Rhinolophus ferrumequinum: one gene and its partners. The protein of the gene in region 1 interacts with the protein of each later gene in a pairwise test. Links are inferred from orthologs where the notes say so. Each region holds a gene or a part of one and is shown in the gene's direction. Other genes may lie near its edges. The genes, in order: EHMT2, RD3, KLF3 and MX2.

What was found.
Region 2: the proteins of EHMT2 (region 1) and RD3 interact in binary tests that used the Homo sapiens proteins (3 or more experiments, as listed by UniProt). The two-hybrid records come from large-scale screens. The link is inferred for Rhinolophus ferrumequinum from reciprocal best matches to the Homo sapiens genes EHMT2 and RD3.
Region 3: the proteins of EHMT2 (region 1) and KLF3 interact in binary tests that used the Homo sapiens proteins (3 or more experiments, as listed by UniProt). The two-hybrid records come from large-scale screens. The link is inferred for Rhinolophus ferrumequinum from reciprocal best matches to the Homo sapiens genes EHMT2 and KLF3.
Region 4: the proteins of EHMT2 (region 1) and MX2 interact in binary tests that used the Homo sapiens proteins (3 or more experiments, as listed by UniProt). The two-hybrid records come from large-scale screens. The link is inferred for Rhinolophus ferrumequinum from reciprocal best matches to the Homo sapiens genes EHMT2 and MX2.

What each region holds. Positions count from the first base shown.
Region 1 is NC_046286.1:2,354,094-2,362,045, reverse strand, and holds the start of EHMT2 (histone-lysine N-methyltransferase EHMT2), read left to right. Parts: upstream 1-4,950; 5' UTR 4,951-4,978; coding exon 4,979-5,258; intron 5,259-5,354; coding exon 5,355-5,573; intron 5,574-5,673; coding exon 5,674-5,927; intron 5,928-6,705; coding exon 6,706-6,790; intron 6,791-6,878; coding exon 6,879-6,919; intron 6,920-7,033; coding exon 7,034-7,189; intron 7,190-7,952. Other genes in the region: ZBTB12 (zinc finger and BTB domain-containing protein 12), read left to right, coding at 957-2,336. UniProt on the Homo sapiens protein: Histone methyltransferase that specifically mono- and dimethylates 'Lys-9' of histone H3 (H3K9me1 and H3K9me2, respectively) in euchromatin.
Region 2 is NC_046305.1:20,547,752-20,554,697, forward strand, and holds the start of RD3 (protein RD3), read left to right. Parts: upstream 1-3,940; 5' UTR 3,941-4,173; intron 4,174-6,946.
Region 3 is NC_046288.1:61,378,018-61,385,538, reverse strand, and holds the start of KLF3 (Krueppel-like factor 3), read left to right. Parts: upstream 1-4,503; 5' UTR 4,504-4,601; coding exon 4,602-4,673; exon of another isoform or gene 4,674-4,719; intron 4,720-7,521. UniProt on the Homo sapiens protein: Binds to the CACCC box of erythroid cell-expressed genes. May play a role in hematopoiesis.
Region 4 is NC_046285.1:105,548,959-105,556,432, forward strand, and holds the start of MX2 (interferon-induced GTP-binding protein Mx2), read left to right. Parts: upstream 1-4,456; 5' UTR 4,457-4,592; intron 4,593-7,474.

The sequences.
Region 1 (7,952 bases):
CGGAGGCACAGAGGAGGGGGAGCGTGAAAGAGGGGGATGTGGAACGTATTTCCGCTCTGGCGGACAAATAATACCGGCCAAAGGGGAGGCCTGGTCGTCCGGCCCTTTAACCGTGTGGGGGGGGCTGGTGAAGAAAGGGGGGTCGGGAAGGGGGGAACTCCTGCTCCTTTAATTCCCTCCCCTCTTCCTCCTCCCCGAGTTCTCGTCGCGGCCGCCGCGCGCGGGGCCTGGAACACACAGCACGAGCCACCCCCGCCCCTCCCCCCTGACGCCCACGCGGAGCCGGCCCCGCGCGCGCGCCCTGTGCACCCCCGCGCCTGCGCGCTGCCCAGGCCCTGCCCGAGTGTGGGGGCGCCGGCGGCCCCGGGGGGGTGGGGGAAGTAGGGGGGGAAAAACACAGCGCGCGGACCCGGGCCAGGTGAGAGGCGCGTGCACTCAGGGTCGTGGGGCTGGGGGGGGCGTGCCACGGAGCTCTGAGCGGGGCGGGGGGGGGGGGGTGGCGTGCACCATGCGTGCAGGCAGCGGGGGGAGGACGTGAAAGGCGCGTGCAAACGTGCAAAGGGGGGGCGGAGGAAAGAGGCAGCGAGTAAAGGGGGCGGGGTGACAAGAGCCTGCATCCTGGGCACCCCAGAGCCTAGAGTCCAAGGCCTCTGCTACCCCTTCCTCTGTGATTCCGAGGGCACGAGGATTCTCCCCATCCTCGCGGTGCGGTTGGGCTGGGGGTATGGACGCCGCTGCCCCGCCCCCGGGAACCACGCCTCCCTCCCTTCGGAGGGACAGCGCCTCCCCCCGGGGCAGGGGAAACTGAGGAAGAGGCCTGAAGACTGGGAGATGTGATGCTGGGGGACCGGGCAAGAATGGGGGCGAGGGGCCTGGAGCCTTGGCTTAGGAGAGCCAGAGACCTTTGTCTCTGACCGGTTTCCTTCCCAACCAGGGTTGCCCACTCCCCCGCCACAATGGCCTCTGGGGTGGAAGTCCTGCGCTTCCAGCTGCCTGGCCACGAGGCCGCTACGCTGCGGAACATGAACCAGCTCCGCGCAGAGGAGCGGTTCTGCGACGTGACCATTGTGGCCGACAGCCTCAAGTTCCGCGGCCACAAGGTCATCCTGGCTGCCTGCTCCCCTTTCCTGCGGGACCAGTTCCTGCTGAACCCCAGCTCTGAGCTGCAGGTCTCATTGATGCACAGTGCACGCATCGTGGCCGACCTCCTGCTCTCCTGTTACACGGGTGCCCTGGAATTCGCAGTCAGGGATATCGTTAACTACCTGACGGCTGCCTCCTACCTGCAGATGGAGCACGTGGTAGAGAAATGCCGGAACGCCCTCAGCCAGTTCATTGAGCCCAAAATAGGTCTCAAAGAGGATGGGGTCAGCGATGCCAGCCTTGTGAGCAGTGTCAGTGCTACCAAATCCCTCCTTCCTCCTGCCAGGACCCCTAAGCCAGCCCCCAAACCTCCCCCCCCACCCCCTCTACCTCCTCCGCTGCTGCGGCCTGTGAAGCTGGAGTTCCCACTGGATGAGGACCTGGAGCTGAAGGCGGAGGAAGAGGATGAGGATGAGGACGAGGATGTGTCTGACATCTGCATCGTCAAGGTGGAGTCGGCCCTGGAGGTGGCACACCGGCTCAAACCTCCCGGAGGCCTAGGAGGAGGTCTGGGCATCAGTGGCTCAGTGGGCAGCCACCTGGGGGAGCTGGCCCAGAGCAGCGTGCCCCCCAGCACTGTGGCCCCACCACAGGGTGTGGTGAAAGCCTGCTACAGCCTGTCTGAGGACGCAGAAGGGGAGGGCCTGCTGTTGATCCCCGGAGGCCGGGCCAGCGTGGGGGCCACTTCGGGCCTAGTAGAGGCAGCAGCGGTGGCCATGGCTGCCCGGGGGGCGGGGGGCAGCCTGGGGGCAGGGGGCAGCCGGGGCCCTCTGCCAGGGGGCTTCTCCAGTACAAACCCCCTAAAAAACATCAAGTGCACCAAGTGCCCGGAAGTGTTCCAGGGCGTGGAGAAGCTGGTCTTCCACATGCGGGCACAACACTTCATCTTCATGTGCCCGCGCTGCGGCAAGCAGTTCAACCACAGCAGCAACCTCAACCGCCACATGAACGTGCACCGCGGCGTCAAGTCACACTCTTGTGGCATCTGCGGCAAGTGCTTCACGCAGAAGTCCACACTGCACGACCACCTCAACCTTCACTCAGGAGCGAGGCCCTATCGCTGCTCCTACTGTGACGTGCGCTTCGCCCACAAGCCTGCCATTAGGCGGCACCTCAAGGAGCAGCACGGCAAGACCACGGCCGAGAACGTGCTGGAGGCCAGCGTGGCTGAGATCAACGTTCTCATCCGCTAGCCGGGCAGGCGCTGGGTTCCTGGGTTGGGTGGGAAGGTGGCTCCCTGGCCCAGGAGAATAGGGGGTGTGTGTCGGGGACAAACAGGTACGGTGGGGAGCCTGAGCAGACATACACATCCTGAGGGAAGCGCCCAAATTCCTTGGAGAGAAGATCCTGCATCTTCAGAAGAAAAGGATGGAGAGGCAGAGAGTTCTTGGAGAAGGCCAAGGGAATATGGGGTCCCAGAGAAAGATTGTCTTCTCTTAGAGGTGCATGGAAATGTGGAGGGAGGGAAAGGGTCCTACAGAATGAGGAGGAAAAAAGACTGGAAAATGTTTTATTACTGGCTAAGCCTTCCCAGGGAGAGGTCTGACATTTCTTGAGGTAGGGGTGGGTGGGAGGGAATCGGGAGGGAATTTGGCAGGAGGCAGCTCACAAGCTTCTGCTTAGAATAGATCCTTGGGAAAGGGACTGGTAGGGGGAAGGATTATTGAATCCCAGGAAAGTAAGTGGGGACAGGTCTTGCATGCTGGGAGAATGGGACTGTGGGTACAAGGCTCACTAAAATTCTAGGGAGAACAAGTAAGGTGGCAGGTAAGAGAACATGGGTGAGCATCCTAGGTAGATATTGGGAAGTGGGGTACAATAGCAAGAACAAGAAATAGTAGGGGGTGGGGGGTAGGGCACGTAGATGAAAGGACACAAGAAGGGCTCTTTGGGGGGAGGGAGAGGAGTAGAGACATACAGTATTTTTTAAAGAAACAAAACGTATTTTTTAGGATTTTTTCTGGAGTTTGGGCTTTTAGTTTTTCTGCTTTTGTTTTCCACAAAATAAAAAAAGAACAATTTTTTTTTCTTTATATACTCTGGCAACTGCTTGTAAATGACTGACCCACCCTAGACAGCCTCTCATTTGCTCAATACCCAGAAGTCAAAACTCATGCAGGTCCCATGCCTAAAGGAGCCTTGACAGCAGAAGAGCAGTGTGACAAGTGGGCTCCTCTGACAGGTACCCTCCCAGTTCTGCAACTTCCACACCTGGCAGACAGCTCACAGCACAAGTGTTCTGTGATTTCTTTGGCAGTGGTGGTAACACATGACCTGCTCCTCTGAGGAGTTTGGTATCAGGTCCAGGGATATGCTACAGGTGTGATCATTGTGCCCACTGAAAGTGTAAGCAGGAGCCTATGTTTGGGCATTTTTGGTCTGGGGAAAGGGCTCACGCCCTCGGGAAAGCTAAAAACCACTTTGGATTAGGGTATGGGGAAGACTACAATTCCCAGAAAGCTCTGGAAAAGTTAACCAAAGACAACTACAGTTCCCAGAAGGCCTTGAATTGGCCTCAGGTGCCCTATATCCGAACCACCTGCCTGTGTCAAATACTGCTGGTGAAATCAAACAGATGTTTTCCTAACTTTGACCAGAAGTAGTACTTAAAGGGACGGTACCCTAAATAGAGTTATCAAGGTTGTACACCAAGGCCTAGTATCATTCATACTTCCAGTGTGGGCTGGGCTATGTATGACCCACGGAGTGCCTGACTATGCTTGTGAAGTGTTTGGCAAAAAAGGTTATTTTACTAGAGTGTCACTAGACAGTAATGACCCTTGGGCCACTGGAGGCTTACCTGGATCCCTAGTGCATGTGGTGGCATAACATGTCTGTTACAAACAGAAGAGACAGCCCCAGGTTTCAAAGGGGGACATGAAGCAGCATGCTAGAACCAGCCAAGAGTAAAAGTGTTCTCTGCGCGTCCCCATCATCCCCTTCTTGCTCGTTAGAGAAGCGAGGCCAAAACTGAGGCCGAGCTTTCTGCCTGGTGACCCAGAAACTAGAGAGCAACACGAAGCAGAAGCACACGCGGACCAGATTGGAAATACAGCCGCTGCCGAGAGCCGGAAGGCTCAGACGCTCCGCTTGTTACCTAAAACAGTGGGGGATGGAGACCCACACCCGGACCCAGGCGTGCTTCACCTTCGGTTCCCCGATGAGCTGAAGCTAGGAATGGCAGGATTCGCCCCCACAGCGCCCAGCTTAGGGGAGCCACTGCCATCTCCAAGGCCGCTCTCGGGGGAAAATGGCCAGAGGCCTGTGCAGTGGCTCCTTTAAGGCTCCTCCTAGCCCTCCCTCCCCACCCACGTGACCCGGGGCGGCCGCGCGCCGGCTCGGCCCCCAGCGCAAGCGGCGATGGCGGCGGCGGCGGGAGCTGCAGTGGCGGCGGCCGCCGAGGTGCGGAAGGGGAGGGGGAGAGGCGGGTGCATGCCCGCGCGCGCGCCCGGGGGAAGCGCGCACCCGTGCAATGCTCCGGGGGTGCAACGGGGCCGGGGGGCCCGGGCGGGACTTACAGCAATCCGGAGGGCCAGCACCGGGGGCGAATGAGGGGACCAGGGGGTGGGAGGTGGGGGGAGTGGGCACGGAGGCGCGCGTGCAGCCGCCGGCTGTCCCGGAGTGGGCGGCGGGCGCCGGGGCCCCAGGAGCACGCGCGAGGGGCACAAGGGGCCGTCCACCGGGCTGGGGGGCAGCGGGCGCTGGAGGGGTTGGTGCCCGGGGTCCCCGCGGCCTGGGGGACAAAGGGGGAGCGGCGCGTGCAGCCGGGAGGAGGGGGCGGGGCCGGGGCGCTGAGGCCCCGCCCCCTCCCCCTCCTCTCTTCTCGGTCCCTGAGATGAGGGGTCTACCGAGAGGGAGGGGGCTGATGCGGGCCCGGGGGAGGGGTCGTGCGGCCCCTCCCGGCAGCCGAGGCCGCGGAAGGGGGGGATCCCATAGAGGAAGAGGTAGGCCCCGGAGCCTACTCTCTCTCCCCAGGGCCCAGGCGTCCTGGGCCCCCCAACTTCCTACTGGTCTGACCAGTCCTCCTATACCTTGTGTCGCCTCCCAGGGAGAGGCCCCCGCTGAAATGGGGGCGCTGGTGCTGGACAAGGAGCCCAGAGGAGCCACCGAGAGAGGTGAGTACAGCAGAAACGGGCCCATCTGGACCTTCACCTCTCCAAATACAAGATCCCCTGAGCCCTTAGCCCTGAACTTTTTCTCTTCCCTTACAGTTCATGGCTCTTTGGGGGACACCCCTTGTAGTGAGGAGACCCTGCCCAAGGCCAACCCCGACTCCCTGGAGGCTGCAGGCCCCTCATCCCCAGCCTCTGTCACCGTCACTGTTGGCGATGAGGGGGCTGACACCCCTGTAGGAGCCACACCGCCCATTGGGGATGAACCTGAGAATCTTGAGGGAGATGGGGACCTCCAAGGGGGACGCATCCTGCTGGGTGAGAGGCTTCGGAGTCTGGGGGTGAGGTGGGGTATCCTCTGACTCTGCCTTCCTTCTTATCTTGCCTCTCTCTGCCTGCCTGCCTGTCTGTTTTCCAGGCCATGCCACAAAGTCATTCCCGGCTTCCCCCAGCAGGGGGAATGCCTGTCCCAGCCGTGCCAAGATGTCAATGACAGGGGCCGGAAAATCACCCCCATCAGTCCAGAGTTTGGCGATGAGGCTGCTGAGTATGCCTGGAGCCCAGGGGGCAGCAGCAGCAGGGCCTGAACCCCCTCCAGCTACAACCAGTCCGGAGGGGCAGCCCAAGGTCCACCGAGCCAGGAAAACCATGTCCAAACCTGGAAATGGACAGGTGAGGATTGTGAGAGGGTTGTGGGGATGGGAGGGCCAGGTAAGCAACCTTCAACGTCTTGTAGGCTTTTTTTACAATTTAGCTTTGGGCCTTCTCTGTTCACAGTTTTACATATTTATCAAGGGGCTACTTTGTTTAAATTCTGGGTTGGGGCTTAATCTGAACTAACAGGTTCCTGTCTTCCTGGAGTTTATAATTCCTGGGAAGAGCGTAATAGAAGAGACAAAAGTAAAGACTTACATAGTTCAATGTTTTAAGTACTCTTAAGATAATGACTATGTAAAGAAACTTCAAATCACTCTTTCTTTCTACCTCAAAGCAAGCCCCCAGAGGATTTTTTCCTGTTTTTGAAACTGCCCCTGCTTCATTTTTAAAGGTTGTACCTCCTACTGGGAAGGAGATATGGCCCACAAATGACAGAGGTCCCAGAATCTCACAAGCTTTATGACTGTGTTTTGGGGGCTCTTGGTAGCATTTTGTTCTGGGTGTGGTTTGGGTAGCTTTGGTCAAGGCCTTAACCTTTGTTTTCTCATCTGTAATATGGGAAGAAAGGGCCTGCTGCATGCTTGAAGAGAGAAATGAGGGTTAGGTATGGGATGTGCTTGACACACTTCTCAGGAGACAGCAGTTGTTATAGCCACATTCTGGTTAGTGCAGGTACAGATGGCATTTTTGAGGGTGTGGCTACCATCCCACCCACATCTGGGGCTCCAGGCTAATCTTGGCCACCGACCCTACTCCTTCCCTGACCCTAAGTGTGCTCCCTCTCGGTCCCCAGCCCCCAGTCCCTGAGAAGCGGCCACCTGAAGTGCAGCATTTCCGTATGAGTGATGACATGCACTCGCTGAGGAAGGTGACCTCAGGTCAGTCCCACCTCCCACCCTCCTGGAGCTTGATGTGGCCAGTCCTGAGGATTTAGGGTACAAGCCTCACTGCTTTCTCTCCTTCCAGATGTGGCCAAAAGGAGGAAGCTGAACCCGGGAAGTGGCCTGGTGAGCCTCGAGAGGCAGGGAACAAGGCCTCTCCACCTGGGGGCCTGCTCCAAGGGAAATGGGTTGGTTGGTGGGGGAGTGCTAGGAGCTTCCATTGTTCTGATCTTTTTCTAGTCGGAGGAGTTGGGTTCTGCTCGGGGTTCAGGAGAAATAACCTTGGACAAGAGGGACCCTGGGTCCCTGGAGGAGTGGGAGACGGTGGTGGCGGATGACTTCAGCCTCTACTATGACGCCTATTCTGTGGATGAGCGTGTGGACTCTGACAGCAAGGTGAGAGGGGCCAGCCATGTCCGGGTGCACTCTCAGTCACCCCCTGTGTCAGTCACCCCTCAGTGGCCCCCTGTGTCACTCTTCTCTTTTTATCTTCTGAACACCCCCTGATTCACTGCCCCACACTACGTTAACTTATTGCCATATATGCTGCGCCCCATTCCATCCCTGTGCCCTTCTCCATAGTGGCCACCATCCTGGACTTGAGGTTTAGCATCCCATTTTATGGTTTATTTGTTGTTTGCTCGTTTATCCCTTTGCTCTTGGTTTATCTCATACATGTTTGCCTATGCACTATAATGCTGCGTCTTGCCTGTTTTGCTTTTTATTTTGTGTTTTATCATGAAAACTTTCAAATACAGATGATCTTGAACAACACTTTGAGCTGCGCTGGTCCTCTTATATGTGGATTTTTTTCAATAAACACTGTAAATGTATGTTTCTCATGAATTCTTACATTTTTTTCTCTAGCTTTATTGTAAGAATATAGTATATAATATATAAAACATACAAAATGTATTAATCAACTGTTTACGTTATTGGTAAGGCTTCCGGTCAACAGTAGGCTACTAGTTAAGTTTTTGGGGAGTCAAAAGTTATACATGGATTTTTGGCTGTGTGGGGGTTGACACTCCTAACCCCCGTGTTGTTCAATAGCCAACTGTATAAACAAAAGAATAGAAGAATGAGCCCCATGTAGCCATCACCCAGCTCCAACAATTTTCAATACTCAGCTGGCTTTTTAAATAATTTTTTTTAATTT
Region 2 (6,946 bases), on another chromosome or scaffold:
ACATTTTTCAAGGCTTTGTACATGTCTGGAATAACTGAAAAAGTGCCACAAGTATTGATTTGGGGATTACACATACAATTTAACAAGTAGGCAAATTTGCAAATATGGAATCCATGAATAATGAAGATGGACGGCATGTGCAGGAGTAAGAATGAAGCTTCTGAGAGTGAAGGGAGGGGAGCAGCTGGGGAGACAGCAACATTCACTGAGGGTTTGCCCCTGGAGCTAGACTTCGATGGATCAGTAAGACTTCCCCAGGTGGGAGGGCGTTGGGTCGGGGTGTGCGTCACGCATAGAGGCAGGAGGTGATGTGCGGTGAAGTCATTCATTTCTTTGGGATGAAGATGGAAAACCTGGGAGGGAACATATTAGGAAGAGCTCTGAGCTCCAGGAACTAAGAAAAGGGCAGAAATGTTCCACGTCTATCCCTTGTCGCTAGTTAGGGTAGTGCCAGTTGCTATCACAGAGAAACCCCAAGTCTTAGCAGCTCGATGTAATCAATTTCTTGCACATATGAGAATTCAACATGGGTGATTGGTGGGCGGCCTTCCACGTGCTAATTTAGAGACCGAGGCTCATTCAAAATTGTGGCTCCGCCATCCTCTAGGCCCCCAGAGCCCTTGCTGACCATCAGCAAGAGGGAAGAGATGGAAGGTGGGGAATTGACGGGGAGATTTTATAAGCCAGGCCTTGCGATGAAACACGATGTGAAAATGTGACCTGCCCAGTGAGCATATTCCCAGCTAAGGTCGAACAAGGTGACACTCTGTCATCGTGTTTCAGCTCTTCCACCCACATCCCGTCCACCCACAATCCTTCATCACATGGCCCTACCTAGAAGCGAAGGAAGCTGGGTAATGAAGTCTCTGGTTAGCTGCTTCCTTGAGAAATGTCCTCACTCGGGAAAAGGGGCATGAATCTTGGGTGGACTGGCTCTTTCTGCCACAGGCTCTCAGATCAGTCTGTCAAACCAATGGGCAGAACCTAAAAGAAGCCGATGGTGAATGAATTCTATAGAATGGGGCACCAAGGTGCTCCCTAGCACAGAGCAGATGGTCAATAAACACGGTGAATGCATGAATGAATGAATGAATGAGGAATGCATTTGTCTCTTTCCTTGCTTCCCTTTAGTTTAATGGATATACATTTTAAACAGAATAAGGCTAAATGGAGAAGAGAGGAAAGACGGAGAGAGAGGGGCGGCAGGGGTTCAAGCAAGCCAGCTGGGAGGAAGGTGAGCATTCTAATGTTTCCTGAAGTCAGGTTCAATGCTTCCTTTACCTGGGAGAGGAAATGTGGCCACAGGAGTGGAAAGAGGGCTACCCAGAGAGAAGAGGTGTGGGTCAGCGCAAGTCTGGTCTGTACCTTTGGATATCATGTCAGTTTAATTCAGTCTCATGCAGGATTTGAGCTACAGGGACCATCTGCAGGACTCCGAAAATCCAGTGCATGACCGAGTGGTTAGAAATAGTTTCGAATGGTCCCCACAGCCTGGAAAGAAGCCAGGGAGTAGGGAACAGGAGGAGCACCCGCATATGAGGATGCACAGCCTGACATCTGGGATCAGGGCTCTTCTTCAATGTCTCCCCAGTTTTAAATCCAGCCTTACATCCAAAAACTTCATAATTCCACATCTGCAATTTATTAATCAAATGCCATCTGTGAGGCAATGTCATGGGCCCCACTGCTGTTACTCCATTTGAAGGGTTGCTGCATATTTAACTACGTTTCAGCCACTTCCATTGATGCCAAAGGAGAGAAAAACCACCACGACCTCTGTCTGTAGTACAAATTCACACCCAGCGTGGATAATCACACCACAGGACAAGGCATCAAAATACATTAGCTGTCAACAAAAACAGCAAGTCCTCTTTGAGTTACTGTCAAGGCAGCAGGCAGGGCAGGGAAGGTGGATGGAGAGGCCCCCTCTCCTGGTTATTAGCATCACTGAAAAGGGCAAGGAAGGAGCCAGCTGGGTCTGCAGGGAGGATGTAAACACCTGGTCGTCTGTGAGTGTGTTCCCCAGAGTCACAGGTCAGGAGCCTGAAGCTCACATCTTCCTTGGCACATTGCTGCAACAGAAGCTTCCTTTAGATGGCTCAGAACGTTGACTCATAGGCTCTCCTTTATATTAGCTGTGTGTGCTTGACGGTGCATGGCAAGATAAATGCATGGCTATAGAAAAGAGATGAATTTTTTCCTTCTAACAGAATGGTCAGTAGTAGCTTGCACAGCCGTTAGCTCTGAACTCTAATACTGTCCCTGCTCCCCACTCTCTATTTGTCTGACGCAGCCTCCTGGAGGCTTGGCTGGGCAGTGTGGAGAGGGGAGGAGGGTGGGATCCCCCTTCTCAGCTGGCTCCTAGCATTGTGCCTGCATAGAAAAGTGCTGCAACATATATGTTGCCTGAAGGAGTGTGTAACTTGATCACTGGCCTCCTCTCCTTGTCACTTCGAGGAACTTTCCCAAAGGGAGGACAGAGTCTTCTAGTCCTGCCGCTCCCTTCCCCCCAGCATGGAAATTCCTTGGAATTTCTGCCTTTGGGGACATGCCAGGATGGCAGAGGGATGCTCAGAGGACTTACAGTTACCTGCTCTAGGTTGCTCGTGCTTTAGCTGGCCGTGGGGAGGAAGCCACTTCGGCACTGTGGGTCTGAGGAAGTGAGCTTCAGCGGCTCGAAATGTGTGTCTGTCATCCGATCAGCGACCCTCCCAACCTTTAGGACTGTTGTGCTGCAATAATATGACCTGGCTCCTGACTCAAGACCCCTGCGTGAGAAGATGACGAAGGAAGGAATTCAGGTGGCCCAATGGAACCAGCCATAGAACAAGCATGAAGTGGCATATCACCCAGGGAAAAAATAAAAACATGCAGGCAGACAGGTGGGCAAGCTGAGTCAGCTCATCAGATAGTTTAATTTCTGCTTTATTTTCAACACGATCGGGACTAGACTTGCCCAGAAGTCACTCCATCACCTGGTACCTGGTATAGCATCACCTGAGATCTATTATACTGCAGCTTAGGGCCCATTACAGTTCCCCCAGGCCCCTCACAGGGCAGCATACATCCGTTTCAGTGCCACCAAATGTCTGTTAGGTGCAAGCTGGCCCTCACGTGGCCATAGCCAGAATAGTCTGCAAATAACAGTGTGTCCAGAGCACAGAGACAGACAGAAGGCCCAGTTGTGACTGTGGGATGCCAGACAGCAACAGGAGGTCCCTGCCAGCCCCTGTGTGTCACCTCAAGTACCTCAAAGTCAGTAACCACAGTTCACGGTCCCTCTTCTCCCTGGATTACTTCCTCAGGCTCACCCCAACTCCAGAAAGTCAGAATAACTTTCTGTACTTGAGTTTGCCTTGAGGGAAGGAGAGAATTTTGATTAGCAAAGAGGAGGACAGGTAAGGGTGCGTGAGACTAGGGTAAAGACACGTCTTTTCAGGCCGCTGCCCTCGGCACCCAGAATCGCCCCTCTCCTGGTGGAGGGAGGAGGTGGGAAGAGGAGACCTCCAGCCAGGAACCACTCACCAAGTAGCTGGAAACATCTGCCCACAGCAGGTCCACCTAGGACTCTGCAGAGGGTGCAGTGAGGGGTCTTGCTTCCCGTTTGTGCCACCCTCACCTTAGCTGGGGGAGGAAGCGGCTGAGAAAGCCATCTGGAGGCAGGCCTCTCTCCCCCACTGGGTTTTCTCAGGTGTCTGCGTCATGTCAGAGGGCTCCCTCTAGAGATAATACAGCACGAGGTAAAAGAGGCTTAGGTGGGTTTCCAGGCAACCACAGATCAGGAGCTGGCCTGCCTCCCATTCTTCAGAGGAGCCGTGGTTCCAGCCTCCTGGGACACACACACACACACACACACACACACACACACACACACACACTCACACACAGAGCAGGCTGGATCCCTCCTCTGGTCAGTGTTGTTTTCTCTTCGGCACAACTTCTCAGAGGCAGAAAGAGAGGGGAAAGCATGAGGCCACAGCCAGAAGCAGAAGAGAAAGAGGAAGGAGACGCTTAGGATGTAGTCTTCTCTCTACCCTGCCCTCCCATGCATGGCTTCCAAAGTTTCTGCTTTTCCTTGAAAAGATCCAGACACTCTTCTCCCAGACTGGGAAGCAGAAAGCAGGACCCCTGTTGGACCTTTCACCTCAGTGGAGGCAGACCTCAGAGAACCAGGTAAGAGGGGCGTCTCCTCCGGAGACAGTGGCTTCCACACCTGGACAGCAGCTGTGCCTTAAGAAATGAGAGCTGAGGGCGGTCAGCCTGGAGCTGGGAGAGGCAGCTTCTGGGCTGTGGCAGGCTGAGGACAGTCTATTGAGCAGTCTGAGTCCAGGGTCAGATGGCCACAGGGAGACCCTGTCAGTCCTGAGCTGTTCCACAGGAGTCGGTGGTCTCTGTGGCATTGTGGGGACAGAGCCCCAAAAAGCAGTTTCCAGACTCTCGGCCTTACATAGAAAGGTGCTGGCTCAGGTAGTAAATGGCCATCGACTGTGATCAAATGGCCATCAGCTGTGGCTAGTTGGCCGTCAGCTGTAACCAGTGAGCCATTGGGCACTAATATAACTGCCGTGGCTAGGCTAGCAGAAAATGGGGGCGAGCAAGAAGATGCTGGCTGAGCCTGCAAGCTGTGCAGTGAGGGTTGAGAATTGTGTGGCTCCTGTTTCTTGTGTCTCCAACCCAGCGGCCAGTGAGAGTACAGTGGTGTGACTCCCCTACCTATGGCTCCGTGGGTGTTCCTTTTTGGCCTCACCATGTCCTGCATTCTTGTGTGGGGAGCGGGACCAGAGACCCTGCACGACAGGCATCCTCGAACTGTGGCGTGTCCTTGCTTTATAAACCCATGGGAAGCCATAGCTATTGTCTGCTCTGGAACCAGCGTGTCTGTTTGGGAGGACCCCGCCCCAGCATTTTCTCTTCTGTTTTTAGGGGGAGGACCCAGGCAGGAGAAGGGAGGTGAATCCCAAATCGGACATTCTCTCATCAATTTGAGAGCTGTAACTTGAGCACCTACTAAGCCCGAGGTGCAGAATCAGGCTCTCGGGACACAGCAGTGGGTAGGACACGTGGGTGATGTGTGGGTCTCAGGGTTCCAGCCACAGAGTTTTCTATGAGTCCCCGATAACACGCCCAGGAGAGCAGGCCTGGACAGAGAGGTGTGGGCTGGGCTCCAGGAAGAGGACCTGGCCTGGGAAGGAAAAGTCCAAGGGGCAACTGTGGGACCAGGCCAGAGTTTCCTGGTGATTAACCCCATCCAACTATGGCCAGTTGGACCCGAGTACTTGCTCCCTTCTGATTGAACCTCTGCCTCAGAATGAGGAAAACTGCCGTTCATTCATTCATTCATTCATTCATTCATGAACCACCTATCAAGTGCCTACTGCCTGTCAGCAGAGTCAACAAATTCAGCTCTTGCCTTCACAGAGCTTGTAGCCAAGTGGAGAGAGAGAAAAACAATAAAAAAAAGTGAGAAACGTGTTTCTTACAGATGCCATGATGGCATCTGGCAGGTACTGGCCGGCACACCGTTCTACCTCAGGGGGTGCCGTGAGGGGCAGGGTGCAAAGAGTTGCTGATGCTTGAGGTGGGTCCTAAAAGATGAGCAGGTGTTAGTCAGGTGGGCAGAGGCCCACAGGTGAGGCTGAGTCACACCGGGCTTGGTGGATTACTGTTATTCTTCTTCTATGATGCCAAAGAAAACTAAGGTCCATTTGCAGTCTGTGAAGCTGGTCTTGGACCTTGGCAAACAGGGCTGGGAGGAAGGTCAGTTAGAGAGGGGAGCACCTGCTCTCCGTACCTGCTCCAAGACCTCTGCCCAGACTCGGGATCCAGCTTCAGCAAAGCCAGCCTGCCTGCTCAGGGAGACAGTGGGTGCCCACGGGTCCCTGGAAGCATGCCGGTTACCCCTCAGCCTGGCCTGCAGAGTCCAGCTCAGCTGTTAGAGCCCAGCTCAGAGGTGGCATCTGGGTGGGGCTCCCTGTCTTGGTACCAAGAAAACAGCTTCCTGGCAGAGACTGAGCTGTCCTTCCCTGGTTGGCTGGGGGCTGGTGGCCTTTATCGCTAGAGTCAGGCAAACCTCCCATGCCTTCTGCGGGGCAGTCAGAGTCCTGCTTCCTGCTCCAAGGGTACACAACCCACACTGAGATTCTCCTGGTCCCCCTCCCGCTGCTCGCTGCCTAGAACCAGACTCCCCTTGCCCTGGCGGCACGGAGATGATGTTTCTAGCATATTCAAGTATCTAACGAGCCACAGCTGGTGGTAGCTTTTCCCAGGGAGCCCCAGAAAAGATGTCATCCTCAGGGATGTTAAAAAATAGGCTTAAGGGAAGGCTCAGAGAGTGTGGGGGTGGAAGGGGTAATGAAGGGGAGAGGAAGGTGGAAGAGGAAGGGCAGAGAATGAAGGAGAAAGAGCTCAGGGGAGTGGCGCCAAAGGGCAGAGATAGAACAAGTGAGAGCCTTCCTATTGGTGCTGGGTGAACTGAAGCTCTACCCCTGAGCTTTCCCTTCATGGGGGTCAGGAGGCGAGGGGAGGCCTCCCTAGAAGCCAGGGTTGGGGCAAGGCCAGGATCAGGATTGGGGTCAAGTTTGTACCAAACCAGGATCCTTTACTTTTTGTGCCATGGTCCCCTGTGGAAGCCTGTGGACACGTTTTCAGCAAAATGTTTCTAAGTGCATGAAATTAAGTTCATAGGATTACGAAAGAAACCAGCTGTATTGAAATGCAGGTTTTGACGTGTTTTTAAAAACAATTGGAGATATACCGTAGTTCCCCGAAAATAAGACCGGGTCTTACATTTTTGCTCCAAAAGACATATTAGGACGTATTTTCAGGGGATGTCTTATTTTTTCATGTACAACAATCTACATTTATTCAAATACAGTCATGTCATCTTCTTCTGGAACATCGTCATAACGTATTAAATGCGTCCATCTGGCTGACGATTCACTGGGGC
Region 3 (7,521 bases), on another chromosome or scaffold:
GGTATTTCTTATTCTGTTTTCACACCCAGTTGTGTTTACGGGAAAATAAACAAATACAACCTCAACCTTTAAATACTAGGAATTAAGACATTATTCTGGAAATTGGGTTTCTTTTTGAAGTGCTTCATTTATCATTGGTTCTAGCTTAAAAACAAGCAAGCAAACAAACAAACCCTAGAGTCATAAAACAATTGATATCTGCTTTGCTAATAGTCCAGTCAAAATTCCACTTGGAGTGAGGTGGAAGGGGAAGTATTATGATGTTTTTTTAGCATTCTCGTTTTCAAGCCTGATGTGTCCCTTTCTTAGACCCAGTCTGTCATCTGAAGCAGGAATGTCAGAGAGCCCAGAGACAGGAAACCAAACAGCAGTCTGCTCTGATAGGGGAGCGCATTGTCCAAAAGAGGTAGCCCTGCTTCCCTGCCTCCCGCCCCCAACTCTCCTTCCTTGAAATTTAGCAGTAATGAAAGAAACACAATGCTAGAGACACTGTTTCTGAGCCAAAACTAGGACTGTTTTCTCCCAAAGCAAAACGTGTCCTCCTAACTGGCCCTCTGCTTTTTCTGGAATGTCACCGTAGTTTATTGGAATTTTTTTTTCTTCTGAATTTATCAGTATTATTTCATATCCCTTGGTCAGAGTGTTTAATAGTAAACTTCTTTCTCTAGCAAAACAGGTTCCTGGAGCTTTTTGAAACTCACTCCATTGTGTTGACAGGCCAAATACATGATCGTGGCCCCCACCTAATTATTAGGGGAGCTGGAGACCAACTGTAGCAGGTTAAGTGGCCCTTCGGCCCATGCCTTCCACGTAACCCTGGGTCTAGCTCTTACCCTGATTTCCATGAAGGGAGTGCTTCCTGAGGCAGCCCCCTTCCTGGAGGACTCTTAGAGCCCAGCTTAGCCTGGGACACACTCAAGATAGTTGTCAATCTCTGGCAGGCCCAGGAATCTCCAGGGATGGCCTGAAGCTAGTCTCAACTCAGATCAGTGGAGTTTGGCCAAATCGAGACATACAAGATCAAGCGGACATCGAGGTCAGTGCATCTACCCTGGAGAGCGACCTGTGACTTAGGTGTGCGTTTTTTCTCCTTTGGCCTATATGTTCTTTCTTCTAATTACTGTCCTTTGAGTGTAATCACCGAAATCCACTCCTTTATCTGTACTTGCACTTTACACCCTGATACCTTCCAAAGTGTTGCACCCCAAAATTACTTTCATTAGTTCAAGTTCCTGTTCCACTTAGTTCTCCAAACAAGGGAGTTTTTCTCTCCTCTCTGGGGAGCCTCCCAAAGTTTTCACCGTGTTTTTGGGTTTCAGGTTTTAGAAGATGATTTTTCAGGCTAGGTTCACTGGTCCCCCAGGCAAATTTTCTCTGTGTGACCCGTGGTAGATGGTCATTCTGAGGTCCTTGCCCTTCATTTTATTCTAGCATGTGAGAAGTGTAGTTTGACATCCATTCCTGTGTGCATCTCACGAGTATTTTTTTGAGCACCTATTTATTAGAGCTAATCTCAGATTATGTGCAGTCACTCTTCTTAGTTATGCCACAGAATGGAGTCGGTCTAGAGAGCCCTGCCCCGAAAAGGTGTTTTGAAATCTTAATTGCCCTGTGGAACCTCCCCATGGCCTTGCCTGGCACGGGCCAATGTGGCACTGCACATATCCCACACCCTCCGCCCAAGGGAGTGACCCCAGTGTGAGATGATTTTACTTAAAAGTCAGCCCCACAGCACAGACTGAAGCAAAACAGAAAGCCCTGGGTCTGCAGGCAGACACACTTCTGTTCTTGGCTGCAGCTCCAACCAGCTCTGAATTTGGGCAAGTCATTTCACCTCTGTTCCTCCATTTCCTCATTTCTAAAATGGGGATGAGGACCTGACCCTTCCACCTTTGTACAGTTATTATGAGGATTTCCGTATTTACTTGGGTAAAGCTGCCAATTTCTCTCAGCAGTTTTATGGACCAGTGCAGGTGCATTGGCCAGGAAGGATAATAGCCTAATTTGGGGCCTTCAGAATGTGTCTTTTGATCTTGCGTCCAAGCCTGCACTTGCAGAGAGAGGGTAGGCATCAGGGGCCAGGTGGGAGGGGTTGAAATCGCCACTACTGTAAATATACTGTCCCCATTTTCCATATCCCTCTTGGACAGATCTGTTTGCACAAATTGCTATCCCACTATTGCTGTTTGTGTTGTGATGTTGTTCTCTGCCTGGGGAGGCAGAAGAGCAGGGTGCCAAATGTACCTTGAAGTCAGACTACTGTGGGTTCAAATCCTGGCTCTGCAATTTAGCAGCTGTGTGATTTGAGGCAGATTACTTTACCTCTCTGTTCCAGTGTTCTCGTCAGTAAAATGGGAAGGTAATACACATTTCATGGGCATTAAATCACATGGTCCATGTAAAGAACAACACCTGGAGATTGCCAGTCATGAAGATGGTGAGAATCAGCAGGAAACGTGTGGCATTACTTAGCATCTGGCTTTCCTTGGTTGAGGGAAATATCCTTTTTTAAAAAAAAAACCTAGTTTGTTTTTTTTGGCTCCCTTCCTCTCCCTCTTCATGTAATCGCCTCCTTTCTCTCTCTCTCTCTCTCTCTCTCTCTCTCTCTCTCTGTCTCCTATTTTAGGCTCTAAAACAGTAGAGACCTTGACACTAGGCTTGTTTAGAAGATCTTTCCGGGTGGGTAATAAAAAATTCTTTGAGGATGATACTGACAAGGTCTCATAACAGGCAAGCAATAACTTTTCAAAAATAAGTTTGGTTTCCATTAGTGTTAGGACCCCCTCACCCCCATTACTTATTTAAGGGAGATTTCAAGTGCATTCAGTGGGAAAGGGAAATGACTGTGTGACTCCTCCTCTGGGCTAAGTGCTCTTATATTCACTCCTTATGAGTGTTTTGTCATTTAGTGACCAAGCCTGATGGCCTTTGGGGGAGCGGGCAAGTTAAAAGGCTCAGCCTATCCAGGTAAGAAGGTGGCCTCAGATCCACTGGAGTGCGATCAGCTGGCTGCACAGAATGGGGAGCGCCTTGAGCTGGTCTTTGAAGAATTAGGAGGATTTAGATAAGCCGGAAAGGAAGGGGATGGGGCATTCCACGCTGGTTGCCCAGCATCAGGGCCAAAAATGAACAAAGGCATGGGGTGGGGGCAGGGCAGCCAGCAAGCAGCACTAAGGGCGCTTGTTGGAGCAGGGGGCAGCTGGTTAGTTAAGGGGTGCCCAGCATGGGTGCTGGAACCCACTCCACAAGCCCTGGGGATCCTGTTGGAGGGAGGAAGGTTTGTGAACTTGGGAAAGGCTAGATGAGAAGAGGGCTTTGAAAAATGTAGGTGGCGAAAGGGGTCAGGATGGATTGGAGGGGCCAAGGGACTAGGTGGGAAGACAGTGAAGGAAAAAGCTCCAGGAACACAGCGTTAAGGCACCGAGGACCTGGCCTCCAATGACAATAGTAGAAATGGAAAGAAAAGTTGATGAGGAAGGCTTAAAAGATGACCTCTAGGTTTCCATGGTGATTGACCAGCAAGTAAGTGCGGAGGAGGGGGAGAATTTGGATTTGGGACATGTTGAGTTAATTCTCTTACATAGCCACGGTTCCGAATGCATTGCTTTTGAAGGGAGAGGGCAGTCTTAGCTCATGGTTCATATCCAAAGCTGCTGGGGTTCTATGAGATGAACTCTTAATGGCAAATCCTCAGGAGCCCAGGAAATTGCCACCACCCTGACGATTCTTTCTGGTTATTTTTAAGGTTCCAGCAGCCATCACTGCTGAGGCCAGAGTTTCCAGGAACTGGCTCCTCACTGGAGCCAATTGGTCCCTCCCAACCTCCCACTCCCTCTAGGGTGGGGCCCCATGGGTGGAGGCTCCCAGGGTGGAGTGGGGTGGGTCTTCAGTGATAGGGCACCGAGCAGAGAGGCAGCCTGGCCTCACGCAGGCCTTCTGGATTTAATTATATAATACTTCACAGAAGAGAATTGCCAGGACTTAGGCCTTGTAAGATAATGCACACAGCAGGATTATACATTGTGGGTAATTTTCATAGGATCTTGGGTTGCTTGCCCTTAAAACTAAAATACGAAATTGTCAGCCTAAAGAGGGAAAACCAGTGTGTAACCTCAGTAGGGAAAATGATTAGCATTTGCTAAAATTTCTTTAAGAAAGGTGTGGAATGCTACTAGCCAGGTGCCGGCGAACTTGAGAGACTTGAGAGTTTACTTACAAGGTGTGGGTTGGGTTTCCCCACCCCCACCCCTGCTTTGCTGGGCCTCAGTCTGCAAATGTGTAGGGACTGCTTGGCTGTTACCTTTGCACCTGTCCTTATTTACATGCAAAATCAATTGCTTCACTCGGTCTTTCCGAAGTACAGGGTGTGGGCAGAATCTTATCTGAAGCCATGTCCTGTTTGGACAAGTTGGACTTGCCTTGGCAACTCTCCATAGGGTGGAGCAGATGGGTGGAGGCAGGAAAGTAAAATTGGGTGGCTTGTTAGTTGAGAGAGAAGAGAGGGCGGATTGTTTGCTCACTGGATCATTATATTTAATTTGAAACTAAATAATTAACTTCTTTCCCATTTACAAAACATTTTGATGCAAAATATCTAATTTATGAGGGGCAAAGATTTAGACATACTCCATGGGATTTTTTTTTTCCTTTCAAACCAACTAGAGAAGACTGAGGTAGGTGAAAATCGTCAATTGATATGAAAACAGGACGCATTTCCAGGTAGGTGCCAGCATTTGGCTGTTCTGAAAGGAGCCTGCCTCCTTGCATCTGTTGCCTGGCCCTTTGTATTTCTGGCCAGAGCAACTGCCATTAAATATTCAGCTCCTCAGGAGCTTGAAGAGTTTGGGTACAGAAGTAAAGAAAGAAAAGTTTCTTTGGAAAGGAAGTTTAGCTTCAGGGATGTTGCCCGCCCCCTCTGGTCCTCCTCCTGGCCAAGAATTACACATACACACAGAGATGGGGGTTTTTATTCTTTTCTTTTTTCTCCTGGAGTTCCTTTGGGGATTAAAGGGTGGGGGAAGGTAACATGCTTCCTCCTTGACTATCCAAACACTTGGGAGAGGTGGGGGGTGGGGTGGGCACTTACAGATGGTGTGTTGGTTTGATCCTGCTGTTTTTCTCCTTACACCTGGCTTAGGTCAGCTAGGAAACAGATTGGGGTTGAGGAACTCAGGTCATTTGGAACCATGGGATCAGGCTGGATTGGGGAAGGACACGGCAGGAACCCTTTGAGGATCTGAGGAGCACAAGATATGGAAAGGGCATAAAAAGGGAGATGACGAGAAAGGAGCCTGTCAGAGGCAAATCCTGCTATGTCACCAAGAAACCAAGCATTCTCTCTCCACATTTATTCTCTCCCTTTCTCTCTGTCTTCTAAGGAAGGGGTGGGAGGGGCGGAGGGCAGTCATTTATAAAGTTGTTTCTGAAATAAACATGCTCTAGCTTCATAACCTCCTTCCTTAGGGGCTGTGTGTGTTTCTAAGCTCCGTAGTGCATTTGTACCCTCATAAAGCATATGGGACTGAATAGGATTGTGAGATGCAACTATCTTACTTACGAAACTTCATGTGAATGATGCACTGCAGCTATTTAATACATAATCATGCAGTTTTCCATTTGGGCAAAAACCTGACCCTGAAAAGTCAGAAGTATAAGTGCAGAGAGTGTGAAGGGAAATCTGTTTCTTTCTTTTGGAGGAAAATTCAGCTGTATTGGCTCCTCCCAGCAAAATAACATAGTTGGGGAAGATGACACTTGCTCCACTTACAGAAAATTACTTTGGCAATGATGTTTCTGTATTTTTGCTTTTAAGCACCCGATAACTTAGAAGTTTTTAGAATCAGTTTTGCCCTTTTTGTTTTTTGAATGCAAGTTTTGTTATTCTGGGATTGCTTAGTTTAGAATATAACAACTAAGATGTAAATGTGCTTGTGATCGGAAAATAGTTGTAAGAAACAACAGAACCACATTTGGGGCCTCATCATGTCTGTGATACCCACATAAAATGGTTAACAGAATTCCTGAGCCTGCTTTAAACCCACTAAATTTAACTGAATTAAATCCACTAAATTGGCAGACTCAGTTTGCTGCCACTGTCCTAATCTCTAATACCTGTTTTAGCACGCCACCTACTGGTTCTGCGTAAGATTGCTGTCAGTGTTGTGTAATAGGTTTTCTACAGCATTTGTAGTTTTTTTTTAACATTCTTTTAAAGTCATGGTAATAGCCCAGATCACTGAGCTGCCCATGTGGAACTAAAACCACTAAATTTAGGCACCCTAATTCTTCCAGTGCTTCAGTTGCTTCTCAGTTACATGGAAAGCACTTTGCAGACATTGCAGTCCCATAAAGTTAATACCAGTGGCAAAAGTGGTCTGTTCAAAGATAGGCACAGTGGGTAGGTACAGAATATATGAGTTTTTTGCAAATAAATAAAAGCTTGATTTGTGTTAATGTGTTTGATTCTCTTCCTAAATTTGGTTCCTTTCTAGCTGAGCTTCCCTCACCTGTTTTTGTTAAAAGTTTTAGTTACAGAATTTAAAAAATTTTGAATTGGCACTCAGATGTGTATAAAGCTGTCCCATCTCCACCCTACTCCCTAGAAGCTCTTATCAGATTAGGGCACACCGTTTTCTCCATATGTCCTGTATCTTGTTCCATGCCCTGTGACTATCACTGAAAGTATAATCAGCTATTCTAGAACTGATAGCTTCTAAATTGGGAACAAAGTGCTGTTAGACATGTGAATGGACAGTGAATTTGATTCTGTTCATAGTGACAGTTGACTTTCGCACAGACTTTTTATTTTATTGTCTAGTGATGCGTTATTTAATTTGGAGTTTCAAACTGAGGTATTCTTATCCTGTCATTCCTTCTTCATTTATTAGCTGAAATACTTCTATATTGAGAAATGTCCCTTCATCATGACGGAGTTACTCTAAGATACAGTTCTGAACAAAGAAACATACCTTTACAATTCTTTTTTTTAAAAAATAAAAATGAATCAGGTTTTGTTAGAACAAATGCTTTAGACTGTTGTTTTCCCCTTATGATTACAAGTCTTGCAAAGCACTAATTTCCTTACATTTTGATAACACATAAAAATTAAAGAATGAAAGTGATTTCAGTAATGTCTTCCAATGGTACAAGGTATAGCAGGTTAGTGTGTAATTCCTGTCTAAATGGAGTCAGTAGTCGTTGCTACAGGCCTTAGGAACAGTCATTAAAGGCTTTATGCGCAAAATGGTGGAGTTAGGATTTGACCCCAAATGAACCCCAGAGCCTGTCGTCTTAATTCCACTGTGCTGCTCTTCCTGGTGGTGGAGAGCTGGAGGTGAGATGTGGGGATGCTAGGAAGGTATTGCAGGGGTGCAGTTGTGAAGGGCCAAGGCCCTACCTGAGAGCTCAGACGGGATGTGGGCAGGGATATGGCAGCTATTCACGGTTAAACTGCCTGGGGCAGAGGGGTTGTCCTGGAAGGCTACGTGTGTTAGCCTAGAGGCAAACCCCTGACATCGCTCC
Region 4 (7,474 bases), on another chromosome or scaffold:
AGCTGCTCGCCTGGAAAACTTGGAACACATGTCAAAAAATATGTCCCTCTCTGCAGGGGCAGGTGTCAGGGGTGGTAACCAGCCCCCTCTCTGGGTTCCAGAGCCCCCGAGAACCCCTCTGGAGAGCACCTGTGCCACCACTGAAAAGGCGGCAGGGGTGGGCAGGGGCTGGGGGATGCAGGGGTGAGTAGGGGGAGCACGGAGGATGTTTCGGGCAGTGAACCAACTCCGTGTGATGCTCTGATGGTGGACACACGTCACTGTCCATCTGTCCAAACCCACAGAAGGCCCAGCGCCAAGAGGGGCCCCTGCTGTAAAGTGTGGGCCCTGGGTGATGACGATGCGTCACTGCAGGTCCATCAGTTGTAACAGAGGCCCCACCCGGTGGGGACGCTGACGGCGGGGGAGGCTGTGCGTGCATGGGGGGCGGGGGGGGGGGGGGGAAGCGGGGGCGTATGGGAAACCTCTGTGCCTTCCCCTCAGTTTTGCTGTGAACCTAAAGTGATCTAAAAAAGTAACTTTCTTATAAGGGGAAAAGAAGCTGCCAAGGAGAAGACTTAGATGGGCAACAATCCCTGAGCATCCTGATTGCCCAGTCCCTCTGTGGGGTGAGCCTCAGCCCCACCCCAGCAGAGGCTTGGCAGGCCCCGGGACAGCACAGCTGGGGGCCGGGAAGCAGCTGCCCCTCCCACACAGAGAGAGGCCAGCGCCTCTGGCTTTCTGCCCTGGGAGGAAGGCCGGAAACGTAGGGTTTTTCCTGACCCCTCTCAGCACTTTTATTACCAAGATTCCTGGACTTTTGACACCACAAAATCCTAACAGATATTGTTCCTGACTGTGGAAAGGGTGTCACCAGCTGAGACACTCCGCCTGAGTGGGCCTTTGTCTCACTCTAGCACCAGAGCAGGGGCACAGCCCGCCCCCAGGCCACTCAGCCCCCTCCTGTCAGGCACCATGCAGGAGAGCGGACAGGATATTCCTGTGCTCAACCAGCTTGGCGTGACCCTCCATCATTCCTCCTGGCACCCGCCTTGTTTTGAGGGTCACCATTATCACCCCCATTGGAGCAGGTGGGTCCCAGAGAGTGAGGGGTCAGTGGCCTTGGACCCCAAAGTGCCCTGCGGGAACAAACACCTGGGTAAGATCTGTGCCTGTCCACTGGACTCCCGGGCCCCCTCTGAGGAAACATCCATGTGGCCTCCTCTGTCCACTGATGTAGAGAAGATGTTAAAGAAAATTTGCCTTCATTGGTGGTTGTGAGCTTTTGTCTATTAGCGTTTGTCTGTTTCTGTATGTGAGGTGATTTCTGTGCTGTGATCAGGGGTTGAGTAAATTCCCCCTTTGGTCTCCTTCTCCCAAGCAGGGGAGACATGAGATGAGGTTTGTTGTTCAGTCCATGTTGTGAGGTGATGGTTAGCTTAGGATTAAAGAAATTCTTGATCAGGGGTGGAGAGAATTCCCTCTTTGTTCTGTCTGTTTTGCCCACATCAGCAGATGAAGTGAAGAAGTAGCTAAGTTATATCAGGACGACACAACAGGCACATTGCCAGGCTTTAGAAGACCTTGGGCTGAAGGTCCCAGCAAGAACAGTAGATATTGCTTGTCCGGATGAATTGGCCCTTTGGCTGGATGGGCAGCATTCATATCAGTAACTGCTGGACCCTCCCGGAACTGGCCATTCCCCGAGGGAGAGGCAGGAACAAGAAACTTGGCTCTAAGGTGAATGTGAGGAAATGTATATGATAGACCTCAGTTTGCAGTGTCACTATAATTATTGTTCCATCATCTGGTAATTTTGTCATTGGTGATTTCTCGTCATTCTAACATTGTGAAGACCTCCAGCAACATGCAGCTTACGACACCCGAGGAGGTCCTGACTTCCAGCCGCGAGCCTGGTGAGGTCTGGCTGGTTCCCGGCCTCTCCAGTGTTGTTCCCCACGGTTAGCCTTCTTGAGAACTTGTTAGCATCTAGAAAACTTGTATGCAGCTTGCAGCTTACAATATCAGAAGACGCCCTAACTTCTACCAACAACAAAGACCTCAACAGCAGTCTTAGGAACTAGCAAGAAGCGGTGTGGGAGATGCCTGAGTTTCTCTCAGCTACAGACCTGGCAAGGTTTTGATTTATGACTTTTCCAGTGCTGTTCTCCCCCGGGTTGGTGAGATTTTGGCATCTACTGTAATAGTTACTATCCTACAAAGCTTATTACTGCTTTTGGGTACTCCTTACTGATGTTATTTGTGTATTTAGCCAAGTGATGTTTGATCAATAGTAAACATATGTTGGGATCTCTTAAACTTATATGTATGTGGACTCCTTTGACGTGACGTTGTTATCAGTGTATAGAGTTTAGTCTTAACCACCTTTCTGTCATTAGCACATTCTATTAATTGCCTTTGTCTTTTGCTGTTGCATATTGCTGAATAAATTGATTAGCTATTGCTAAATAACTAATCAATTAGCCTCCCTAGTGTGTCCCTCCTCCTCCTTTTCCCCCCTGCTCATCATTACAACTGAGAAAGCAAACTCCGAAGGAGAGGCCCGTCCGAGGGTGGGCACACTCTGCCCCCGGTGGCAGGGAGCTTCGTAAACTTGCAGGGGCCCTGAGAACGGGTCCCTTCAGCTGCAGTTTGAGCATCAGCTGACCCTGGTTCCTCCTGGAGAGGAGTGTGTTGGAGGGGATGCCGTTTTCCACAAAGAATGGAGGGTCCCCCCGCCGTTCTTGCTGCCTCCATATAAGCTGCATCATTCTGCCCAGCTTCCAAGGTTCCTTCTGTTAAAAAAAGAGACAGCAGGCCCAAAATGGACTCATTTGTGCTAAGCTATGTCACCAAACCGATGCTTAATACCTAACCTAACTGCAGTCCTCCCCCAGGAATGTAATCTTAAATGATCAGTTTGGAATTTCCTGGTCAGCAGTAGTAGATTCCACTACAGTCATCACTGTCATCCACCCCATAGATCAACCCCTCGGGTCCCCCCAAAGAAAAATGAGGTAATCTGCTTTTTCCTTCTCCCTGCCCCCTTCTGTCTATGAAAAGCTTTCATTCAGTGCAGCAACTGGGACTCCTTTCTATTTGCTGGATGCGATGCTGTGTGATTCATGAACCATTGAATAAAGCCAATTTGATCTCTAAATTTGTTCAGTTGAATTTTGTGTGTATTCCTTTTTTTTTTTTTTTTTTTTTATGCTTCACTTGTGCCTTTCCGGGAGCCGCAGAGCGAGCAGCAGGGCCTGTTATAAAAGACCTAAGTGGTGAAACAAACAACCATCAGTCTGCAGAGGGCCCAGTCCCCTCCCCAGCCCCTCCCCCCCAGCGGCCCCATCCTCGCGGCCCTCACCCCGCCCCCGCCCCGCCCCCTCAGCCCGGCCCCCACTCCCCCTTCCCCCCTCTCCCCGCCTCCAGTCTCGCGGTCAGTGTGGGATCCTGCAGCCCACCGCTTGCCCCATGACCTCCTCCGAATGCCGGGATTTAAAGAACATCTTTGAAGCCTCCAGGTTCCTTCTTTAAAAGGAAAACCTGTCCACAAGGGCAGTCAGTAAAATGAATGAGCAAGGAGGTGGTGAGAATGAGTTTTGTTCATGTAACATGTTTTGGAGAGGACTGCGTGAGTGGAAATCAGACTGAAGCCTGCTCCCTCCGTCCTGCGCCAGCCCCGCTTCCCCGGGGCTTCTCCGGGCTTCCAGACCACCGCTCCCACCCGCGGGTGGGACTGCCTCGCTCGCCTCCATCCACTGCCATCGCGGGGGCGGGGAGGGGGCCTTGGGACACCTGGGGGCTCACTGCATTTTGGCAGGCGCGGTACCTGAGGACCAGAAAATCAGGCCGCCTCAGGGCCGAGTTCTGGTCTGGGCCCCGCCCTCTTCCTGCCACACCCGGCGGCGCGAGGCCTCTCCGGGGCTTGGGAACCTTCGCCAGTGGGAGAGAGAACACCTTGTACAGGTGGGTTAATTGCCTGACGCTGTACACTTAACCTGGGGGAAAGGTGGCAGAGGGTGACATCGGTCTGCGGTGGCTCAGGCGGGAAGCCAGCAGGACGTCTGAGAACTTTCAGATCACACGCTTGAGTGAACTTGGCCGCCCCCCCCCACCACCCCCCCACCCCCGTCTGTGTGAAACACCCAGCTTCTCCCGCACCAGCCACATTTCAAATGCTCAGTGGCCTCCTGTGGCTTGTACTGGACAACAGAATGGAACATTTCCAGCATCGCAGAAAGTCCCAAGGGACAGCGATGCTCGGTCACTGGATCCCCAAATGTGGGTCGACACCAGCTTCCCCTGAAAACATGGTTGCAACGCAGGTTATGCACCCCACGCCAGGGCTCGGGCATCCGGTCCCCCCACCTGCGGGGTAGGTCCAGACCCCCCATTGTTCACGAGCAGCCCCAGAGATTCGCCCGTGGACCATTATATGAGTCACCCACGAACTTGATCTCCAGTTTCATTTCCGTGGCCAGGGCATTTGGTTTCATTTCTCCGGCTGTTGGTAAAGAGGAAACAGTGGGGAGGAGGGGTTCGCACACATATAAAAGGGAAGCCCTGGACGGGAGACAAGGGATTGGCCCAGTGTCGGTTCCGAAGGCGCACAGGTGAGAGCTGGGCTGGGGCGGGCGGGCGCGTCACGCCGCCGTTTTAGCGCAACAGATGGGCCTTTCCGAAGGAATGCCTGGTAAACCTGGCTGGTGCCAGAGGCAGGTGCCCTAAAGGTCGGATTCTGACGCTGCCCTGTGGGACTCTCCTTAAGCCCCGTGTTGGCGCTGGCCCCCAGCCAGCCCCTCTCGCTGAGGGTGCGTTTTACAGAAGTGGCCCCCCTTCCCGAATCTGGCCAAAAGCCTTGTGGCCACGCAAGGGGCACTTCTTGGGACACTTGCTCAGCATCCGTGGAGGGCACACATCCCGGGGTGGGGCGGGAACTTTGTGTCTGTGCAATATTGTGATTTATTGGAAGAAATACTGTGCATTACATCCTCATAGTTTGAAAGGTGCTGAGAGAATAGATCTTAAAAGTCTTTATCACAAGGAAAAAAAATGTTGTAACTGTATGGCGATGGATGTTAACCAGACTTATCGTGGTGATCGTTTTGCAGTCTATACAAATATTGAAAACAAAAAATTCAGTAGGTTACCTGGTCTTCATCCTGGTTCAGAGCTTGAAACCCTTGTGACTTCTTTAGAGGGGAAAGTGTTGTCTTTTGTCATGTTAATGAGGTGACCTTTGGTCTATTGGGGCCTGGTTGTCCCTGGAACAAACCAGGTGGTTAGAAGGTTGGGACTTTCAGCTCCACCCCCAACCTCCAGGGAGGGAGAAGGGTGGGAGGTTGAGTCAATCGCCAATGGCCAATGAGTTAATCAATCACCTATGTACTGAAGCCTCCATAATCACCCCCAAAAGGACGGGGTCCAAAGAGCGTCCAGGCTGGTGACCACGTGGGCATTCAGGAAGAGGGGCACCCTGGAGGGGGCTCGGGAGCTCTGTGCCCTGTCCTCACACCTTGCCCTGTGCCTCTGCCTGTTCCTGAGTTACATCCTTTTGTCATACACCAGTAATCCGGTGAGGAACTTGTTTCTCCGAGTTAAGTGAGCCATTCAGGCAAATTAATTGAGCCCAAGGAGGGGTTTGTTGGAACCTCTGATCTAGTCAGTCAGAAACACAGGTGACAATCTGGACTTGCCCTTGGCATCTGAAGTGGGTGGGATGGGGGGGCTGGAGCAGTCTTACAGGACCGAGCCCTTACCTGAGGGATCTGATGCCATCTCCAGGTCCGTAGTGTTAGAGTTGAGTTAATTGCTTGTTGGGCTGGGGGATGAAAAACACCTGGGAACTGGGATCAGGCTTGCAGCCCCAAAGCCTGGCATCCGGGCTTCAGGGGCCCTCTCAGTTATGGTACTGGTGGCCCAGGGCTGCCCTCGGTGGTGTGCGGAGAACTCCACCTTCTGAGGGGACAGGGCCCTGACTTCTGGCATTTGCTGATGCTCTGTGGTACCAGGTAGTGCTACAATATTCTGCCTTCAGTTCTTACTTAGAGAGACATTGATGCCAAGTGTGCCCAGCAGAGTGGGATTTGTGGGGAAGAGATGAGTTGTAAACAAACCTAATCTCCTCCTAATCTACACCTCCAGGTGTCAACAAACCTGGAGGATTATGTCTTGGGGCTGCCATGACAAGGTTTAAACAATTGAAAGTATTCTCTCCCCCGGCCCTGGAGGCTGGAAGTCTGAGATCGGGTTTCCCAGGTTGCTTCCTCCTAGGACTCGGTGTAGAACCCTTCCTTGCCTCTTCTAGCTTCTGGTCGGTGCCAGCAATCCTTGGTGTTATTTGGGGAAAGTATCTCCAGATGCTGTGGTGGCCTCTCCAGATCGTGCCACCAGCCAGAAGAAGAAATCCACATGGTCACCCAAGACATGGGGCCAATTGTGGCAGATTTTTCTGGACAATCAAACAGTCAGCTCTTGCCTTGCCGAGAACTGGGGGGTTAAGCAGAGGACAGGGTGAAGGCGTGGACTTGGGTCCTTGCGTGATCTCATCTTCTTTCTCTTTCCTGGAAACTCCGTGAATCAGATGGTTGTTGTTGTATTCTGCTTTTAGGATAAACCAATTCCTAATTAGTGTGGAAGGAGGCAAAATACCCCCACAGGCCTGTCTAAAGGATCATAGAGATTCAACACAAGATGCCAGGTCAAAGGGGAAACAAGTTTTTAGTTCATCACAGTGCTCTTCACTCTGCAGCTGTAGTCTCCTCAGCAGACCCAGGGCCAGGAGGCCATGCTGGGGATGGACACAGGGCACTGGGATTCAGGCCTCTGGGGCCTGCAGAGACTCCTGGTGCTCAGTGAAGCATGCGGAAAGCTCAAGCTCCCCCCGCCCCCCACCAAAATAAAAAACAGCCTACAGGAAGAAGTGCAGGGCAGAGGGGCTTGTCTTCAAGAGTGCATTTCTGAAGTTTGCCCGTCTCTTATGGTGTTCGGCCATACCGTTCCAAAGCCCGAAAAACTTGACTCTTCCTTCTTTATCAAAGTAATGTATTATTTACTGGCCTCCTGCGTCTGTCGCCTTCCAGCCATGGGCCATGGTGTCCTGGCTGCTTAACTGGTCTGAACTCCACTGCCCCTTCTCATATAAAATTCGGGATAATGTAAATGAGATGTGCAAACCACATAGCACTTGGGGAGGGCACACCAGGGCACAAATGACAGCCAAGCACGCCCTGGACCCTTGGGAATTGTGCCTGACCAAGGGTGCAGGATCTGAACTGTCTCTTCTCCTCTCCCAGAAGAAGAGGAGCAGCGCCCGCTCCTGCAGCATGGCCCCTCCGCAAAGTCACGGCTCGTGCGCTTACATTAAGGAGGGTCACATACTCCTTGTTTTATTTCCTTGTATTGAGGAGAGTAACTAAGTTGATGGCATGTCCTTGAGGGCAATTTGATTTAAAACAAAACAAAACCACAACAAACAGAGACGGTTCACACAGGA